3 linked regions of the Elephas maximus indicus genome follow. The protein of the gene in region 1 purifies or fractionates together with the protein of each later gene. This does not show direct contact. Links are inferred from orthologs where the notes say so. Each region holds a gene or a part of one and is shown on either strand. Other genes may lie near its edges.

What was found. The genes of interacting proteins can lie anywhere in the genome.
Region 2: the proteins of SMARCC2 (region 1) and BCL7B purify together in Homo sapiens (affinity purification with mass spectrometry; 3 studies listed by BioGRID and IntAct, counting the BioPlex papers as one, with this or other methods). This does not show direct contact. The link is inferred for Elephas maximus indicus from reciprocal best matches to the Homo sapiens genes SMARCC2 and BCL7B.
Region 3: the proteins of SMARCC2 (region 1) and BCL7C purify together in Homo sapiens (affinity purification with mass spectrometry; 4 studies listed by BioGRID and IntAct, counting the BioPlex papers as one, with this or other methods). This does not show direct contact. The link is inferred for Elephas maximus indicus from reciprocal best matches to the Homo sapiens genes SMARCC2 and BCL7C.

Annotation. Positions count from the first base shown.
Region 1 is NC_064822.1:116,161,963-116,165,562, reverse strand, and holds the start of SMARCC2 (SWI/SNF complex subunit SMARCC2), read left to right. Parts: upstream 1-1,431; 5' UTR 1,432-1,500; coding exon 1,501-1,611; intron 1,612-3,600. UniProt on the Homo sapiens protein: Involved in transcriptional activation and repression of select genes by chromatin remodeling (alteration of DNA-nucleosome topology).
Region 2 is NC_064830.1:110,067,845-110,075,560, reverse strand, and holds the start of BCL7B (B-cell CLL/lymphoma 7 protein family member B), read right to left. Parts: upstream 4,316-7,716; 5' UTR 4,231-4,315; coding exon 4,139-4,230; intron 3,769-4,138; exon of another isoform or gene 3,554-3,768; intron 3,515-3,553; exon of another isoform or gene 3,413-3,514; intron 3,361-3,412; exon of another isoform or gene 3,286-3,360; intron 1-3,285. UniProt on the Homo sapiens protein: Positive regulator of apoptosis. Plays a role in the Wnt signaling pathway, negatively regulating the expression of Wnt signaling components CTNNB1 and HMGA1.
Region 3 is NC_064830.1:90,162,136-90,169,851, reverse strand, and holds BCL7C (B-cell CLL/lymphoma 7 protein family member C), read left to right. Parts: upstream 1-3,073; 5' UTR 3,074-3,306; coding exon 3,307-3,398; intron 3,399-3,909; coding exon 3,910-3,988; intron 3,989-4,320; coding exon 4,321-4,429; intron 4,430-4,521; coding exon 4,522-4,683; intron 4,684-6,099; coding exon 6,100-6,185; intron 6,186-6,648; coding exon 6,649-6,774; 3' UTR 6,775-6,857; downstream 6,858-7,716. Other genes in the region: CTF1 (cardiotrophin-1), read right to left, coding at 120-144. UniProt on the Homo sapiens protein: May play an anti-apoptotic role.

The DNA.
Region 1 (3,600 bases):
GCAGTGTTTATGTTTCAATAGGCTACTCCCTCCTAGCCCTGTGATGCCTGAAGTACACTTCCTCAAGGAAATCTAAATGAAAGAATGCCCTGTTTCCTGGGTCCTCGGTGTAATCAGACCCACAACGCACAAGGTGTGATTTCTGGTCATGAAATTCAGAGGTGCCCTCTTTTCCTGGAAATCCAGGTTTAACAATCATTACAAAATAGGCACTCACACACATTCCCAAACAAAACTGAAACAACCCTTCTTTATCCAAATCCTTTTTTATCCCCCCCCCTCAGGAAAATGAAACGCTTTGCTAGCAAACCTGGTTATAGAATTCTGAAAGTGCCTTGCAGCCTAGCAGCCAACGCAGTTGTGCATAAATTTAGCTTCCCGTAAGCCCCCATCCCCCAAATCCAGGGGTGAAACCTTTCAGCTTCCTTTTTCGAGAGGGAAAGGGAAATGCAAGAAAGACATGTGCGGGGACTGGGGCTCCCTTAACATGTCGTGGAAAAAAAAAAAAAAAAAAAAAAGCGCCGCCGTCACGAACAGGATTCGAACCTGTGCGGGGAAACCCCATTGGATTTCGAGTCCAACGCCTTAACCACTCGGCCACCGTGACTCCCAAAACCGCGCTCCGCCGTGCGCTTACAGAAGGGGTCCGCATTGCGACCGGGGAAGAACTGCAGTGAGAAGTGGGACCCCGACCCATCCACACACCCCCTATATCCCTCCGGCTCCTTACCTCTCCTCTCCGCCACTCAAAGGAAAAGGGTCGGTGGACGGGCTGATAAGGAAGGTCTCCCGCCTAGCGAAGAGTCAGGGTCTCAAGGAGCGCAAACCTGCTTAGGAGGCGATGGCGAGGCCTGAAGAGGAAGCGGTTGGAGGGAAGGGACTGGGCCCCCACGGTGGCGGCTAGGGGACTCCTCGGGCTAAGGAGTAAGAGAAAGGTCCCGGAACAAGGTGTTAGGGGTGAGAACCTCTGGAAGAGTTTAAAGGGGAGTTCCTGGGGATGGATGGAAGGAATGTATTGTGGAAAGGGGTTTGGAGTTCTTTGGGATTATGGACTCTGGGGTTACGGATGTGCAAGGAAGGAGAGGACAACTCCAGGCTGGGATTCCTCAGGCGACGTCCTAGAAGTAGGTTAGAGACGTACCCCATCCCTCGAGCTGAGGCAAAAGAGAGAAAGGGCTTCGCGTCAGGTAAGGGGCGTTTTCAGGAGAGTGGACGCCCCCTCCAGGAAGCAGCCGCTTCCCAGGAGGCCCCCGACGCTGCTGCCGCCGCCGCCGCTGCCGCCGGGGAGGCCGCCGGGTCTGGCCCGGCGCAGAGCCTCTCCGCCGCCGCCGCGCCCGGCCGGCCGGCAGGGGGCGCTGCGCGGGCCGGGGCCGGCCCAGGCGGCGGGAGGCGGCGGCCGCGGCGGCGGGAGGCGGCGGGAGGCGGGCGGAGGAGGAGGCGGAGGAGGCGGGAGCTGAGCTGAGCGGGGCGGACGGCGGCGGCGGGCCCGAGCCCGAGAAGATGGCGGTGCGGAAGAAGGACGGCGGCCCCAACGTGAAGTACTACGAGGCCGCGGACACCGTGACCCAGTTCGACAACGTGCGGCTCTGGCTCGGCAAGAACTACAAGAAGGTACGCGGCCCGGACAGGCAGGGCCGCGCGGGAGCCGGGGGCGGGACAAAGGCGCTGCGACCCCGCAGTCCCCCGGGCTCCTGCCCACCCTCCTGCCGCCCCCGGCCCCTCCCCCGCGACCTCCGAGCAGCTCAGCGCGCCCTCCGCCCCGCCCGGCGCCCCGCGCCCCTCCCCCAGCCCATTTTACCCCCACCCCCAGCCTCGGATTCCAGCCCCCGCCCCTACTGCTGCGCCCTCTACCCCTTGTTTTTCTCTGCTGCCCCGGCGGGCCCCGGTGCAAGCAGACCACCCGCTCTTAAGCCACCGGCTTCCCGCTTTTCTGGGAGAGAGGCCCGGGGGGAGGGGGAGGGGGCGGACGGGGCACCCAGTGGGCGCCCCCCTAACGCGCCCGCCACAGTGCCGGCCAGAGCTCCCCACGGAGCCAGGTACCAGGAGGGCTGAGGCCTCCCTGGTGCTTTGTGTGTGTTCAGAGATGATGAAAGCAGGAGCGTGAACAGCCACAGAGCAGGCCCCTGGCTGATCATCGGCCTGAAATAAGGCCCCCATCTGGGGATCACCTGTCTCCACCGCTCATCCCCCAGCCTCCATCTAAGAGGCACCAAAACCTCTTTGGGAACCAGGGTATAGGAGTTTCTAGGGAGCGGCCTCTAAAACCATTCCTTGGCTTCACAGTGAAGGCATCCAGCATCTAGCCTTGCATTGCCATGGGTTTGGAGTTCAGAGGCTAGGACAAGCCTTATAACTAGCCTCCCACCATCAACCCCATGAGTGAAGATAATAAAGTAGTGAACAAAGGACTCAAGAAGCCTTACCTGTCCTGTTAGCAAACCTTTTCCTAGTGTCTTCTTTGTCTTTGGGCCTGGTAAAAGGAACGTTTACATATAGGGTGTTTCGCTGGAGATGGTCTTTGCCTCCTGTCTTTCCCATTACCCCCAATTAGGGCTCTCTTTCTACTTTCCAACTCTTCCTGTCCAGCCTTGCAGCCTGTCAGAAGTGTGATGGGTAGACTTCCCCTCTGATCCTGGCTATGAGTCTGGCCCTGTTCTCAGGGTCTCCCTGGGTGTCGGAATTCTGACAAACAGCTGCTGGGTCTGTTTGTGGCCTGTCTGCACCTCGGTGTGAGGCTCTGGTTCCCAGGCTTCTACCTTTGACCTTTTGGAAGAAAGATCAGGCTAGGAGCTTTTAGTCTGTGGCCCTGGAGGAATTGACAGTCTGTGACCTGGTTCAGCTTTCATGCTCTTAGCTCTTTGTTATTTACCTTTTCCTTCACTGATCTCTTTACACCTCCTACTGAGAGGAGTTCTAGTCTCTGTGCTTAGGGTTCAGGAAACAAGGGTCAAAAGGTAAGAGAAAGTTAACCTCTGGATCGGCTTCAACTAGGACAGAAAGGCTAGGATGCTAGACAGTGTAGTATGGAAATGTTTAAGTAGTCCCACGTTTGTTTTTGTCAGATATATTTTCCTCAGAAAGGAAAGATACCGTCTTGGTGTTCCCCACCAGGCAAGTGCTGGTCCTTCCCATCAAGGAGGGCCTACACCAAGCCTCGAAGACATTTGTGCCCAGTTCCTATTACAATCAAAACATACAAGCTTTTTCTCAGTCTTCTTGCCCTACCTCACTTCCTTGTGTCTTTCTCATTAGGCTAATTTTAGGGGGGAGTCTTGACCTTCCACAAAATCCCTCCAAGAAATAACACTGTGGTCATGTTTAGTGAGCCCTGTAGGCATTGCTTCCATGGCCTGAGCTCCATAAACCTTCAGTTATTTTACAACCCTCTGTGTTGTTGGCTAGAAATCAGGTGCCACGATAACAGGGTCCTGCAAATCATATTTCAGGATATAGCTGAGGGAAGAGTAGGAAGCTTCCTTCACTCCCAGCACCCAACACTGGCAATCTGTGCTGGTGGCAGCAGAATTTCATCTTCCTGGTTTGGGATGTCCAGGGCCTCCTTTCTGCTGTTTTCTTTACCGAGACTAGACATCTGGCGAG
Region 2 (7,716 bases), on another chromosome or scaffold:
TCAGCACAAAATAACCCCTTCCAGAGAGACTTCCCTATCAATGCCTTTGGCTCTGAACCCTCTGCTTGCCCCCTTTCCTCACACACAGCACGCCAAGCCTTTTTCCTTGTAGACCACACAACAGAGCACAGCACATTTTCAGACCCAGGTATTTACCTGGTTCCACTCCTTTATTCCCCCAAAACTAATTTGATGCCACTGATACTTACAAAGCTCCATTATACAAAGCCCTGCAAGAGATAAAGGATGTATAAGATACCAAACCCGTTACCCTGGGAGCTCGTAAAGAGTGAAAAAGGTAAGGAAACTATTGTAATACATGAAGGTGGCAAAGAAGTTGAGAAGCTCAAAGACCAAGTCAGACTAGGCCAGCCTGTGGAATGTATAACTCCTATGATTCCTGTGGAACTAGTTGGGGTGAAGTGAAGCACGACTTCATTTTAAAATAATCACAGTAGCAGGGCAGGACGCTTGCTGCTATCAGAGCTGAGCCTTACACTGGCTCCTGGAGGAAGTAAAGGCCAAGCCATGGGAAAGACTGCTTTAAGGTTTTATTTTGCAGAGGAAGTAACTTTTGATATAAGGTTTAAAAATGAGTATTTTTCCCCCCAGGCACATACCTGGGGAAAGGCACGTGACATCCCAGGGTAAGAGAGTAGACTACAGACAAGCAGAGGCGGAGAGCCTGAAGTTGTGTTTGGAGAACAGCACGTAATCGAGTTTAATGCTGGAGGTACCTGAAAAGCTGGAAAGTTCATCTGAGGCAGCTTTGGAGAAGGAATTAAGTATCAGACTGAGGAAGACACACATCCACACGCACAGCGCCAGGCTGCACGTTGCACCGTATTCTTTCACTTGCCTGTGACTTACTTGGTGTGCTTTATTATCTACCATGCGCATGCTCTTTATCTCTAATGGCTGTATGAGAGTACGGACTGCCATTTATCCGGCACATACTCCTCAGTGAAGCCAAGGGATGCTCTGCGTCACCAACCAACCGCCTGGCCTTGCCACCCACGGACTCGAACCATAAAGTAGGATGCGGAAAGCAGTAACTCTAACCCTCCTGTAGTCACAGCTCGCTTTTTGCTCCTGGGTCCCTTCTTGCACACCCTTATTAAATAATAATAATTTTTCCAGTGTTTTTGAACTATTAGCCAATTTACCAAAATATAACTTCAATAAAGATCACGGGCTATTGATGCATCTTCAAATCTCTACCATTCTATTACTACTAAAAATACAGTCAACAGAAATAAACTTATAGGTTAGCTATTCTATTTAAACAAATATCAATAAAAAATGTTCTGATAATTTTCGAGATCATCTCTAAGTCTCCAGGCTGGTCTAGGCTTGTGCTGTTATGACACTGAACAGGTTACCACAGAGCTTTCAGACTAAGACAAGGAAGAAAGGTCTGGTGATCTGCTTCTGAAAATTAGCCAGTGAAAACTCTATGGATCACAAGTGTCTGATCTGCCACCAATCGTGAGGATGGTGCAGGATCGAGCAACATTTCATGCCACTGTGCATGGGGTCACCATGAGCTCGAACCAACTTGATGGCAGCAAACAATATATCCTTACGAAGTAAAAAATAACAGAGATTAACCACTACACTCACAAGATAAAAAAAAGGCATTAGGAAGGATAAAACTCTTGCCCAAGGTCACTCTCTAGATCACTATTAAGGCCTCACAACTCTAGCTAAACCTGATTACATCAAATGCCAGTGTTCTGAAGTGGCACACAGAAGCACCTTCAATGTGCTTACGTGTGTGCGCAGAAGAAACAAGGGAGACTACCCTTTGTTCCAAAAGGTTACTTCTCTAAGTATGCCAGACACAGAATGAATTTGTTTATTCTAAGAGCCACTGGTGTCCCTATGAGGTACCTGCTGTCAGCAGGAATGAGGGCCAGACGCAGAAAGCTGCTTTGCGACAGATGTAAAACAACTCTGAAGGTTTCAAGTCCAAATTTGAGATCACACACAAAAAAAAGTAACCAATGCTCTTCAGCAAATGATGACATCACAGAAATGGAGACAGACTGTGACGTAACAGAAAGAAGGATGAACTAAAGATTCAAGAAACTGGAGTTTAGTTCCAGACAGGCCACTCCATTTCCTCATTTGTTCAAGAAATATTTAACGTACAAATTCCTGTATTAGGCCCTGGGGTTGCAGCGAGAGAGGAGATACAGGTTCCTACCCTCACAGAGTCTGCATTCCAGCTGGAAACAGACATTAAACAACTATTTCAAAATCAGCCACTTAATCATTAATTTGAAACATATAAAATTGCCATTTTTGTAGATTAAATACTCAAATATAAGGCATTTCTCAGGGTTGTGTAAAGTTCTATGAAGCAGACCCGACCTAGATTGAGAATTTTGAAAAGTATCCCTGAGAAGCCAACTTTTGAACTAAGCTCTGGGAGTTAACCCAGGAAGGGGGTGGAGAGAGGGGAGGAGGAAGGATGCCTGGCAGCAGAACAGGAGTGTGCGACAACAGCCTCCTGGCAAAGAGGGCAGTTTGAGCGAGACAGGCAAGGCAGGAAAGATCTGCTTTGGTCTTTATCCTGAGATAAGAAGACAAGAGGCCACTGAAGCGTTATTTTCTAACCAGGGGATGCTATGGTAACATTTTCACTTTAAAAAGATCACTCTGGTAACTGAAAATAAGAAAAACGAAATCGTTCCGACTGCAATGTGAAGTAGGGACTGGGTAGGCGGCCAGTGTAGAAGCAGGGAGATGACGGAGGCGCTGGTGCCGATGTCTAGGTGAAGATGATAATCTGGCCTCGGTGACAGGTGAGGACAAAGATGTCGAGGAGAAAAAAAAGGTGTACCGATTCTTACGTTTAACCAAAACCTAGGAGAATTAGATTTAGAGAGGAAAAATCATTTAATTTCGGAGTCCCAAATAAGAAGCTTTCTCTTGTTGGGAAATAGACAAACACACGAATACAGACCTGAGTAATGATGTCCCCAAAAGGGTGGAGGGTGAGGGGTGACGGGCTGGAGAAGGCCTCCTGGAGGAAACTAAGACCCATCCATCGGGGCTTCTGATAGGGAAAAGGGGAAGGAAAGGGCTCAAGGAGGCATCAAAAAGTCGCCCGTGAGTGTTAAATGCGATAACGCACCCGAGTTCCTGCTACAAGACAGGCGCTCATTCCGTCTCCAAACAAGGGCTAGGCCCAGGCCCCTCCACCAGCAGCCCCCAGGGCACGAGAAAGTACCAGCGGTACATCTGGACCGTACGCCTCGGAGGTGCACCTGGAAAGTACACCTCGGAGGTACGCCTGGGAGGTACACCTGGAACGTGCACCTGGGAGGTACGCCTGGGAGGTGCACCTGGAACGTGCACCTGGGAGGTACGCCTGGGAGGTGCACCTGGAACGTGCACCTGGGAGGTACGCCTGGGAGGTACACCTGGAACGTGCGCCTGGGAGATACCTGGGAAGTGCACCTGGAACGTACACCTGGGAGGTGCACCTGGAACGTGCACCTGGGAGGTACGCCTGGGAGGTACACCTGGAACGTACACCTGGGAGGTACACCTGAAAGATGTCAGGGGAGGGGACGGGGCCCGATGTCCGCGGCCAGGCTGGCTTCCGCCGGCAGGCAGAATTACGGAGGGCTCTTACCCAACTTAAGTGAGTTAACACAGAAAGCCATCAGGCCGTCACACTGGACGCTCAGCGCTCGCGAGCCTTTGTGACGGGGCAGCTGAGAAACAAGCCCGAGCACGCCGGGCGGCGGCGAGAACGCCCCGGTAAGCGAGAGGGCGCGTTCGTCCGGTCCGCGCGGGAACCCTGCCGCCGCGCAGAGCGCAAGACCCGGCAGACCGAGCGCTGACCGGAAGCCGGCAGCCCCTCCCGGGCGACGCGCAGAGCGCAAGGCCCGACGGACCGAGCGCGGACCGGAAGCCAGCAGTCTCTCCCGGGAGACGCGCGGCCAGGTGGGCGGGCCCACGAGCCGGGCCGCCCGCTCATTGGTTGCAGCCGGCGCGCCCCCTGACCTCACGCCGACGCGGGCAGTAGCCACCTCCCGCTTCCTGCTTGCCCCCTCCCCCAGCGCCCGCCAGTTCGGCGCTCCCCGGGGCCGGCCCCCCAGGAGCCGCCGCCCCAGCCCCTCACCATTTCCGCACTTTCTCGATGGCCGCCATCACCTTCTTGATGTCGTCCTTGGCGCGGCTGCGGGTCTCGGCCCGGACCGACCGGCCCGACATGGCGGCGGCGGGGGCTGGGGCTCTGCTCCCAGGACACGGGATCGCGCGCCGCCCGCCGCCCACCGCCCGCAGCCGCAGCGTCACCGCCGCCCTGGCCCCCTCCGTGCGCGCGTGCGCGGGGAGCGCGCGCACCCGCCCGCCCCTTGGGGCTCGAGGCCTCAGCGCGCTTGCGCGCCCGCCCGCCGCCGGCGGCCCCCGCTGGGCGCCCCGCAACCCCTTAGCCCCGCGCAGGCCGGGTGCGCGGCGAGCGGGCGGCACGTGCAGTGGGCAGGGCGAGGTGCGAGGCCCCGGCTCTTCAGGGGTCAGAGGCCAGCACCTGCCGGAGCGGCTCCTGCGGCTTCCAGCCTGTGGCCTGGACGCTGCGGGCCCCGGGCGCCTGGCCTGCCCCGGTCAGCGCCCAGCTCCCCGGAGAGGTCCCAGAGCGGGACACCTTTCCCCAGCAGGCCGCTGACCCTCGCACACACCTGATCCCTGCAGCTGCCTCTTCGCTGCCGACATCCAGCTAAAACTCAGACACCTCCTCCGAATTCCGTGGGGTCCCACCTTATTCTGCAGTCTTTGAGTGCGACCCACCTACACTACCACCTTGTTCACACTTGATCCCTTGTCTCATTTCGTGCAGCAGCTGACTAAATGATGCCGACTTCTGCAAAGTTCTGTGCTAAGTGCTGAGGACACAAGGATGTGTATTTCGCACCGTGAACTCCCGGGTTAGTAGAACGTGCAAATCAGAAGAGGTATTTAAAATGTCATGTGATACTTGCTGGCTAAGAGAAGTATAGGGTGCTTTGACAGCTCGAAGTTAGATGGGGGCTTTCCAGAAAGCTTGGGGAGGAGAGAAAGTGAGCTTGAAGCTGATCTCTGAAAACAGGGTAGATGCTATTGTTCCAAGGGCTAACAGTGTCCACAGGCATTGAAAATGCTCCTTAGACGTTTATCGACACAGCTAATAGGCAGAGCAGATGGAAGCTTTGCAGGTACGAGGGTCAAGAATAGCTTCTACCTGACTGAGGAGTGGAAGAGCTGCACCAGCAAGTGGAGGGAAAAGCTGACTGAAGAAATAATGGGATCAAAGGTGGCACACCTATTTCTCAAACCCAACTGATCCAAAATCACCCACCGCCTGAGCTCTGCCATGTGCCCCATAGCAGAGGACACTGTGGGTGATGCAAAGATGGGTAAGACACTCCCTGCCCTCCAGCTGAGGATAAGGAAAGCAACAGGAACATAAAACATAAGGCAGAACATGTTAAGTGCCAGAGAGAGGCCAGGTTTCTAGACGCCTCCAATTCTGTTCATAGGTTTCCCTGGTGCAGGCATACAGCCCAACACCTGGCGGTTATGTCTAACCTCTGTCTCACCCTTGTCCAAGTCCTGACCAGCCTCCCCCTGGCCTCTGGAGGTTTCTGGCCTGTAGTTTCTTTCCACCTAACAGCTGCCCTGGTCTCTGGCGGCATCCAACCCTCCTCCAGCCCACGCTGCCCCACTGCCAGTCAGTCACTTTTTCTGACCAGGCCATCCCCAGCTCCAAAGTCCCAGTGACCCATGTTAACTGCTCACATTTGTTCGCCCCCATCTCCCACTGCAGCTTTGTCTGTGTGAGAGAGTATCAAAGCAGGCACATACCAACTATTCCCCACAGACCACACAAATGGTGACCTCTTTTTCTTTTTGAAAGTCACGCCTTGACATTTTTGAGGTGAAAGCCTGTTGCTGGATCCTGAGGGGGATGCAGAGATCAGCCAGCCCAGGCCTCGTCCCTGAAGAACTTGCACTCAAGGCAATGGTTTCCCTTCTCAGAGGAAAAGCTATAGTGGCCTCGATGCCTCGCACCATGTGCCTGCCACACCCCTCCCAAGAATTCTCTGACCTCACCTCCTATAACTTTCTCCTTTGCACTCTCCAACTGCTCTGGCCGCCTTGCTAATCTGAAAACATTCACTCAAGCTCCTGCCTCAGGACCTTTACACTGGAGGTTCTTCTGCCCATCCCCCATATATGTGCATGGTTCACTCCCTCACCCCTGCCTTTAATCTTTACTCAAATGTTCTCAGTGCAGCCTTCCCTGCCCACCCTACCTAAGGCTGCCACATCTGTTCCACGCACATTCCCTATCTCCCCACATTTTTCTTTGGAGCATTCATCATCTAAAATACTATTTGTTTATGTTGGTTATTATCTATCTCCCGATTTCAGTTGCTCCATGAAGGTAGCAACATGGTCCATTAGTTCACTGATTGTCCCCAACACCTAGAACAGAGCCGGGCACTCAGTAGGTACTCATAAATACTTGTTGAATGAGTGAATGACCAACATCAATGCTTCCCCCTTCCATAAACCCTTCCCAGATCACTCCAAGCAGAAGGAAAGAGACCTTCCTCCCATGAACCCCCACAGGACTCTGAACACATTCTGTATTATACCCTGAACTCTCCTAAAAGGCAAGGATTTCCAAGGCAGTCTAGACAAAAAGCCACCCTGAAGACCACTGGTAGCTAAAGAAACCTGTTTGAGGAGAAGCCTCATGGTGTAGGAGTCTCAAACACGCTGAGGTTCCTCTCTCTTTCCTCCTTCATAGGTTAAGATGGGGGAAAGAGGATAAGAATCAATGTCTCCCTCCTTTCTGCAAAAGCCACTGGAAGGTCTACTCCTGTGTCAGGCCACAGAAACCAAAACACAGTGCTGAGGAGCAAAGAAGACGTGAGATGTTGTGAAGGATTCCCCGGGCACTCTAAGCAGCGACGGTGGAAACCCGTGGAATTCACTGAGAGAAGTTTCAGGGGCTAAAAAATGGAAATGATTCAAGGAGGCCTTCAAAACTTTCACAGGGGGTGGTTCCCTGGTACGTTGTTAATGCGAAGTACCAGGAAGCCAGAAACAAGAACGCGGCCAATGAGGACACAGCATAGGCAGAGAGAGCCCAGTGGTGCCCCGACGACCATGAGGCTCACCCAAGAAAGCTGTTAGAATGCAGATTCCTGGGCCCTATCACCAAGGTTTTGTCTCCATGGTTCTGTAGATGGCTTGTGCATGTGTTTTGTTTTGTTTTTGTTTAAAGGTATACAGTTAAGTTTAAAAGTTAAAAAATAAACAAGTCCCTCCCTCCTGATCCTGCACTCACCCTGTCCTTGTCACCCTCTGCCTAACCTTCCAGAGACAGTCTACACTGATACTGTCAACGTTGGCTGCACCTGGGGAACTCCAAAAAAATACCGATGCCGGGGCCCACCCCGGAGGTTCTGGTTTAGTGGTCCGTGGTGCAGCCTGAACGTTGGGGTTTGTTTTTTAAGGTTTCCAGATCACAGTCTTGTACAGCTGAGGTTTCGAACCATTGGTCCACATATTTACAAACATATATCCAAAAGTACATATTCCTTTCTTTTTCTACACAGATTGTAGCACACTCCGCACTAGTCTGCACCTTGATATCTCATGTAGTATATCATTGTATTAGCTTTCAGTTGCTGCTGTGACAAATTACCACAT
Region 3 (7,716 bases), on another chromosome or scaffold:
CCGTGCCCAGGCCGCTCCCCTCCCAGTCCCGGAGGTGGCGGAGACTCTGACCCTAGCTCCCAGCCCTTCTGACCCCTGCTCCCCTCAGTGACCCGGCATCTGACCCTTCAGCCCCTTACCCAGACTTCCCTCCCTCCGGCTCATGCTGGCCCTTAGCCGATCTCGGTTACCTCCACGCCCCCCTTCGAGGCGGGAGAAGGGGGACAGGGGTAGGGGCGTGACTCGGGCGCAACCAATCATGGTCCAGACCCCAAACACCCGCCCCACCCCCCCTCTCCCAGGCAAGATTCCTTGGCCCTGAGCTCAGCTCCCAGCCTACGCAGCCTAACCCGAGAGGGACCTAAGGGGTGGGGTGGGGGGGACAGCTTATTGGCACTATGGGCTTGGGACCTGGGACCGAGGGTCGGGGGCATGGGAAGCAGCCCTGCGTCCCACCAGGAGGAGGCTCAGGCACCGACCTGGGGCAGGGCCTGGCACTAGGAGATAAAGAGGGAGGCTGAGGGGCTGGCAGGAGAGGATGTGCAAGCCCTTCCTCTTGGAGACAAAGGGAGGCTAGGTGAGAGGGTTGTCCGGTAGGAGTCTCTAGGGCTTGGGGGCACACCTACCCAGACACACACCTGTATCTTATATGCGTTCCACCCAGTCAGCACAGTCTCATTGTCACATTGATATTCCCCGTCTCCTTTCTTCAAGCACATGCTGGTTGTCACACCTACCAGGAGGGAGACACATCACCTCATCTCACCTCACCCCACTGACACACACACATGCATCTATTGAAAGTTAATGCATACACTCATTCTTACATAGGAGCAAGCTTCAGAGACAGGTGCAGGAGGTCACACTCACACGTAACCCCACTAACCTGGTGCAGATAGACACTAGGGGGTCTGCATACACATCCCTAGAGATGGTTCTAGAGTGCCTACTCTGCTCTGGATCCTGGGACACAGATACGATCCATATGGGGTCTCAGACCCCCTAAGGAACTCACAGTCTGATGAGAGAGACCATACACAATGGAGACTGTGAGCAAAAGGACTGTGTGTCTGTGAGGATGTTGACATGGGCAGACAAACTGCCAGAATAAAGGAATGCAGGGATTAACTGGCAGACAGCAGAGCAGGTGCAACTGAGGCTGCACTCTTTATTCACAGTTAATATTTATTGAGGGTTTATTATGTGCAGGCTCTAAGAGCTATACATGTATTCATGTATTAACTTGCTTAATGCTTATAAACTCATTCACCCTGTTGCCATCGAGTCGATTCCGACTCACAGCCACTCTATAGGACAGAGTAGAACTGCCCCATAGGGTTTCCAAGGAGTGCCCGGTGGATTCGAACTGCTGACCCTTTGGTTAGCAGCCGTAACACTTAACCACTATGCCACTAGGGTTTCCTTAATGCTTATAACAATATAAAAAGGTAGGTAATATTATCACCCCCATTCTATAGACAAGGAATTAGAAGTATAGACAGATAAGTGACTCGTCCAAGGCCACATAGGTAAGTGTGGCACAGTTGGGATTTCTCCCCAGCAGTTTAGCTCCAGAGATGCTCTCATCATCACCTTGCTATACCTTAACCCCTCCGGACGGTCACACAACAGCACAGACACAACAGACATACCCTTGAAACACACTCACACATAGCAACACACATTTATATCTGCTGACAAGCACCTGTAAACCCATCGCTGTCAAGTTGATTCCGACTCATAGTGATCCTATAGGACAGAGTAGGGCTGCCCCATAAGGTTTCTAAAGATCAGCTGGCGGATTCGAACTGCCAACCTTTTTGTTTGTCGCCAAGCTCACCAAGGGTCTGCTGACAAGCACGGTGTCCAATAAAACCAACCAAGACACAGTCATTTTCTTTAAGAAAACTTTTTATTGAAGTAAAATACACATACAGAAAAGTGCACACATTATAAGTACACAGCTTGATGACTTCCCATATGATAAACATGCCCAAGGAACCAGCACCACATTAAGAAACAGAACAGGATCTGCTTGGAGAAACCCCCCTCTTAGCCATTCCCAGTCAGTATCCCCCAAGGGTGACCACTATCCTGCCTTCTCACACCATAATTTTGTCGTTTTCAAACTTCATATAAATGGAAGCTTGTGTCTTCTTTCACTCAGATGTTCATGAGACTTATCCACGTTGTTGGGTGTAAAAACCAAAGCCACTGCCGTCGAGTCGATTCCAACTCATAGCAACCCTATCGGACAGAGTAGAACTGCCCGACAGAGTTTCCACGGTGCGCCTGGCAGATTCAAACTGCCGGTCTCTTGGTTAGCAGCCGTAGCACTTAACCACTACGCCACCAGGGTTTGTTAGGTGTAGCAGGAATCAATCATTCTCATTGCTGTGCCCACGGGTGTGAATAGGCTACAATTCATTTTCCAGTCTCCTGTTGATGGGCATTTGAGTTGTTTCCAATTTGGGGCTATTATGAACAGTGCTATGAACTTTCTAGTACACATCTCTTGGTGTTCATACCTCCGTTGGGCGTTGACGACTTAGGATTGGAACTGCTGGATCATATGGCCAGCTTCACTAGAAAACTGCCTGTTTTCCAAAGTGGCTCTACCAATTTACACCCCCCCAACTCCCCGCCTAAATATGAGTTCCACTTGCTCTGCTTCCTCGCCTACCTTGGTATGGTCTGTCATTTTCATTTTAGTCATTCCGGTGGGTGGAGACCCACTCATACTGGCAGAACCTGGCACATAGTTGGCACTCAGTAGACTGTTGAATGAATGGATGAGCTGGGCAACATAGAATCAGACAACTTGGCGAGGGTGGACACACACATACATAAACACACCCTCACCCAGAATTTCAGGGACGCCCAAGCGCGGGGGACGCACATCCGGACACGGACCCCCGCGCGCATCCCCGGGGCCCACGTGGCCTGAACGCACCGCCTCTGGCCGGTCGCGCGCGTCCAGTCGCCCAGCTGCCCCTAACTCTCCCTCTCGGTGGCGGGCAGGGGGCGCTGCGCGTCCGGACGCCCCGAGGGGGCGGGCCCGGGTCGGGGCGGGGCCGGCCGGGCTTCCAAACCTCGGCTCCCGCCGCCCGCGCCGCCGGGCCGCTCCGGGGACGGGCCGGGGCGGGGCGCGGCGGCAGGAAGCGGGGCGGGGATTCGCGGAGGCGTTGGGGAGCGAGGGAGGGCGCGGCCAACTCCCGGAGGGTCGGCAGGCCTGGAGAGCGGCGCCCCTGCTTGGCGCCGAGCCTGAGCCCGCCGGACGGGAGGCGGCCCCGCCACGGGCCCTGCCTCGGTCCCAGCCCCGCCAGCATGGCGGGCCGGACTGTGCGGGCCGAGACCCGGAGCCGGGCCAAGGATGACATCAAGAAGGTGATGGCGACCATCGAGAAGGTCCGGAGATGGTGAGCTCAGCGACAGGGACGCGGATGGGACATAGCAGGGCTACCGCCCCCAAATGCATTTACCCTCCCCATGCCAGCTGTAGCCCCAGGTGTTAGGCGTGTGCCCAGCTGTGCCCCGGATTGACAGGGCTCATTCTCCCTTGCCCTGGTGATCTCCAGCCGTGCCCTCCCATAGTAGGGCTCCAATTTTTGTGCCCTGCCTCCTAAAGCTGTGACTCCCTCCATCCTAAGTGTGCCCCAGGATCTTCATTGCCATGGTCCTCACCCAGGCCCAGAGCCATGCCCCCATTTTTGCAGCGCCACAGTCCCAAGCCATACCCTCCCTAGACGCACTCTCATCTATGCCCTGAGGTCTGCAGGGCTCTCTTTGGCCCTCTCACTACGCCCTATTAACAAAACTGTCCCTCCCCTCGTGCCCCTCCCCCACCTCTGCAGGTACCCCCAGATGTGTCCAGCTGGGGGGCTTTTCCCCCAAGCCTCTCTGACCCAGCTACCCCCCATCCTCCCACAGGGAGAAGCGCTGGGTGACTGTGGGCGACACTTCCCTTCGTATCTTCAAGTGGGTGCCAGTGGTGGACCCCCAGGAGGAGGTGAGCAAGCCCCCCCTCCACCAGACCCTGCATCTGTGCAACCTCAGCCAAGCTCCTGCCCACCCTGGCCTCCACATCTAGTCCCCACTCAGACCTCAAATGCAGCAGTTTAGGCAGATGTCAACAATTATTAGCCACCCCAGCCCCCTTCTTTTTCCCTGCTCCAGAGCCCAGAATTCAGAACCTAACTCAGCATGCACAACCTCTGTCACCTCAGGCAAGGCCTTTTGCTTCTCTCTGCCTCAGTTTCCTTATCTGTACGGGGTGGGAGGATTGCAAGAGCTAACCAGAAAGGCAGTTGGGGCCCTGACCCTTACCCCTCTAACCCCTAGGACCGACGACGGGCGGCTGGTGGTGCAGAAAGATCCCGTGGCCGGGAGCGGCGGGGCAGGGTCTCCAGTCCCCGAGGGGGTGGTCCTCTCATCCTGCTCGATCTCAATGGTATGTGGGGATCCTGGGATTTAGGGGGTGAGGGGCATGGAAGAGAGAACTTGGGGCCTCAGGCCCAACCCTTCTGGTTCTTGTTCCCACAGATGAGAACAGCAACCAGAGTTTTCATTCGGAAGGGTCTCTGCAAAAGGGCACCGAGCCCAGCCCTGGGGGCACCCCCCAGCCCAGCCGTCCTGAATCGCCTGCCGGACCCCAAGATGGGGTCCCAGAAGAGGCTCAGCCCCCACAGCTGGGCCAGGAGAGAGGTAGGACCAGGTGCCTCCTGGGAGCCCGCTCCTCTGATGAATCCTGTTCGCTACAAAGCTGAACCCACCAGCTTCCCTGCATGTCTGTTCCTCCTCTTTTGTTGCCTCATCAAGGAGGCTCTTCCTTGGCTTCTGTGGAAAGTTACCACCCTATCTCTAGCTACTGTGTGTCTCATTCCTCTGGCTTCTTAGGGTCTGTAGATCTCTTATCACGATCTGAAATTTCATGTAAATTTAACTTTTTATTAGTATAGTATGTTTCTCCCCCAGTCCCACCTGATAGCAGCTTCATGAAAGTTGGGCTCATATCGATCTTGTTCACTAATTGCCTCAGAACACCATGTGACACATAGTAGGTACTCAAGGAACATTCGTTGAGTGATAATCATAAAAGCAATTAACACGGTATTGATAATAGGTAATATATATTGAGTGCTTACTGTGCGCCAGGTATGCTTCTAAGCACTTTACTCACTTTATCTTTTTTAATCTTCATCACAACCCTATGGGAAGGTGTGTCGTATTACGATCCCCATTTATAGATGACGAAACCGATGCTCAGAGAAGTTACGTAAGTTGTCGAAGTCACACAGCAAGCTCCCTCTTCCATATAGCCAGTCGATGCCTGCCTTTCCCTCCCCAGGCTCTGCCTGGCTCTGGCCATCCCATCTTTCATGCACTGCTGGCTCTAGCCTCCTCAGCAGTCACCCCCATCCAGTTGCTTCCACACAACTGCCAGAGTAACTAAACCACAAGCTTGTCAGCTTCCCTGCTTCAAAGCCTTCAGTAGCTCCCCATGGCTTTTGACTCCTCCCCAGCTTGGCATTCAGGGCCCTTCGTGAACTGGCCCCTGGTAACCTCATTGTTCTCCCCCAGCAACCTCATGACATGGGCCTACTTGCTGTGACGAGTATGTGCCATGCACTCTTATGCCTTTGCTAATACAAAAGCACTAATTGATACCCGCTGAGTACTTGGTTGTGCTAAGGGCTCTACCTGTATTGTCTCACTGAATCCTCACAACAATCTCATGTGGTAACTACTGTTGTTATCCCCATTTTACAGACAGGGAAACTGAGACTTAGAGAAATTAAGTAGTTTGACCAAGGTCAGAATATGAACCCAGGCACTCCAACCCCAGAAGTTGTGCTCATTAAGCATGAATTCCTTCTGCGAAAAGTGTGCTCCACCTGTTTGCCGGATGAAATCCTACTCACCCTTCAACATCCCACATAAATGTTCCTTCCTCTGTGCTGCCTTCTGGATCACAGTAACAGTGCGGGCTCCTCCCTCATTCTCCCATACCCTCTGGCTTACGTGGTTGGTGCTTGTTGGTATTTATTTCCCTGACTGGTTTGTGTTACTGCCACAGAGTTGCTGGCTGCTCAGGGAATGTCTGTTAACTTGACCTTCCAGATCCTGGGGGCATAACTACGGGCGGCACCGATGAACCCCCGATGCTGACCAAGGAAGAGCCTGTTCCAGAATTGCTGGAAGCTGAGGTGAGAGAGGCCAGAACACTGTTCTTTTAGGTCTTCGAGGGGTTGGAAGCTTTGGGGTTAGCCAAAGGCTCGGAGGCTGTACTCCTGGGTCCAGAAGGGGAATGTAGACATAGAACACAGGTAAAAGCTTAGAGGCTGGATTCTTGGGACCAAAAAGGAGAGGATATTTTAGCGACGGCCAATGTCTTAAGCTTAATAAAGTCCCCCATAAAGTTCTGATTTTTCCCACAAGGATTATGTTGATGCATTTTTCCGAAATATCAAATATCACATTCTTTCTCCAGAATTTGTCGTTGTTGTTTTTTCTTGTGCCTTACTTAAGCTGCATCTTGGGTACCTGGCTCTGGGCTAGACTCCTGGGTCCGGGAGGGGAGTGGAGTGGAGGCTTTGGAGAAGGCAGAGGCTAGGAGGCTGGACTCCTGGGTTTGGGTGGAGCTCACGCCTGTCCGCCCTTCCTCTCCAGGCCCCTGAAGCTTACCCCGTCTTTGAGCCAGTGCCACCTGTCCCCGAGGCAGCCCAGGGTGACACAGAGGACTCGGAGGGCGCCCCCCCACTCAAGCGCATCTGCCCCAATGCCCCTGACCCCTGAGAAGCCGGCCTGCCTATCCTGCCACCCCAGGGGCCTCTTTGACTTTTTACAAATAAAGACCCTTTTATAATTTTGTGTCATGTTGTTTCCCCGTCAGGGCTGGGGAGGGTCTTTGGTGACAGTTTTGTCACATGCTCCATTTCTCAGATGGGGTCACTGAGACTCTTTGAGAGGACCTTCCTGTAGTCACACCATGAGTCAGATGTGGAGTAGGGGCTTGAGCCAGGACCTTCCTCCCTAACACTTTCCCCACTTTGTCCTGTCCTCCTTACTGCTGACCCTTTTTAACCTTCACCTCTCCTCCTGTGAGAATCCCAGGAACCTCCTTCTCAGCCCTCCCCTGGGCCCAGCAATTATCAAGCTAGGCCCAGGATTCCCATTTCACACACGAGAACACCACGGAGGCCTAGAGGGCAGAACCAGGGACTTCTGGGCCTGGGGTCACCCAACCCATTTATTGGCGTCATCTTGTCCAGATGCTCAGCAAAGAGACTGATGCAAAAGCCCAGTCCCTGCCCTTGGAAAGCCTAAGCATTGTGCCTCCCTGTCTATGCTTAGCTGTCCCTCTACCTGGAACCCCTGCCCCACACTTCTGGTTAATCCTATTAGTTCTCAGTTCAATCACCACTTCCTCTAGGAAGACTTCCCTGATGCCAGGCTCTGTCAGTTTTTCCTTTTTAGAACTCCCGCAATTCCTGTGCTTCCCTCCCTTTATTTGATCATTTGTTAGGCTGTTTTGGGATTGTTGGGAAACCCTGGTGGCATAGTGGTTAAGAGCTATGGCTGCTAACCAAAAGGTTGGCAGTTCAAAACTACCAGGCACTTCTTGGAAACCCTATAGGGCAGCTGTACCCTATCCTATGGGTCACTATCAATTGGAATCGACTTGATGGCAATGGGTTTTGGTTGGTTTTGGGACTGTTGGTTTGTGTGTATCTTGTC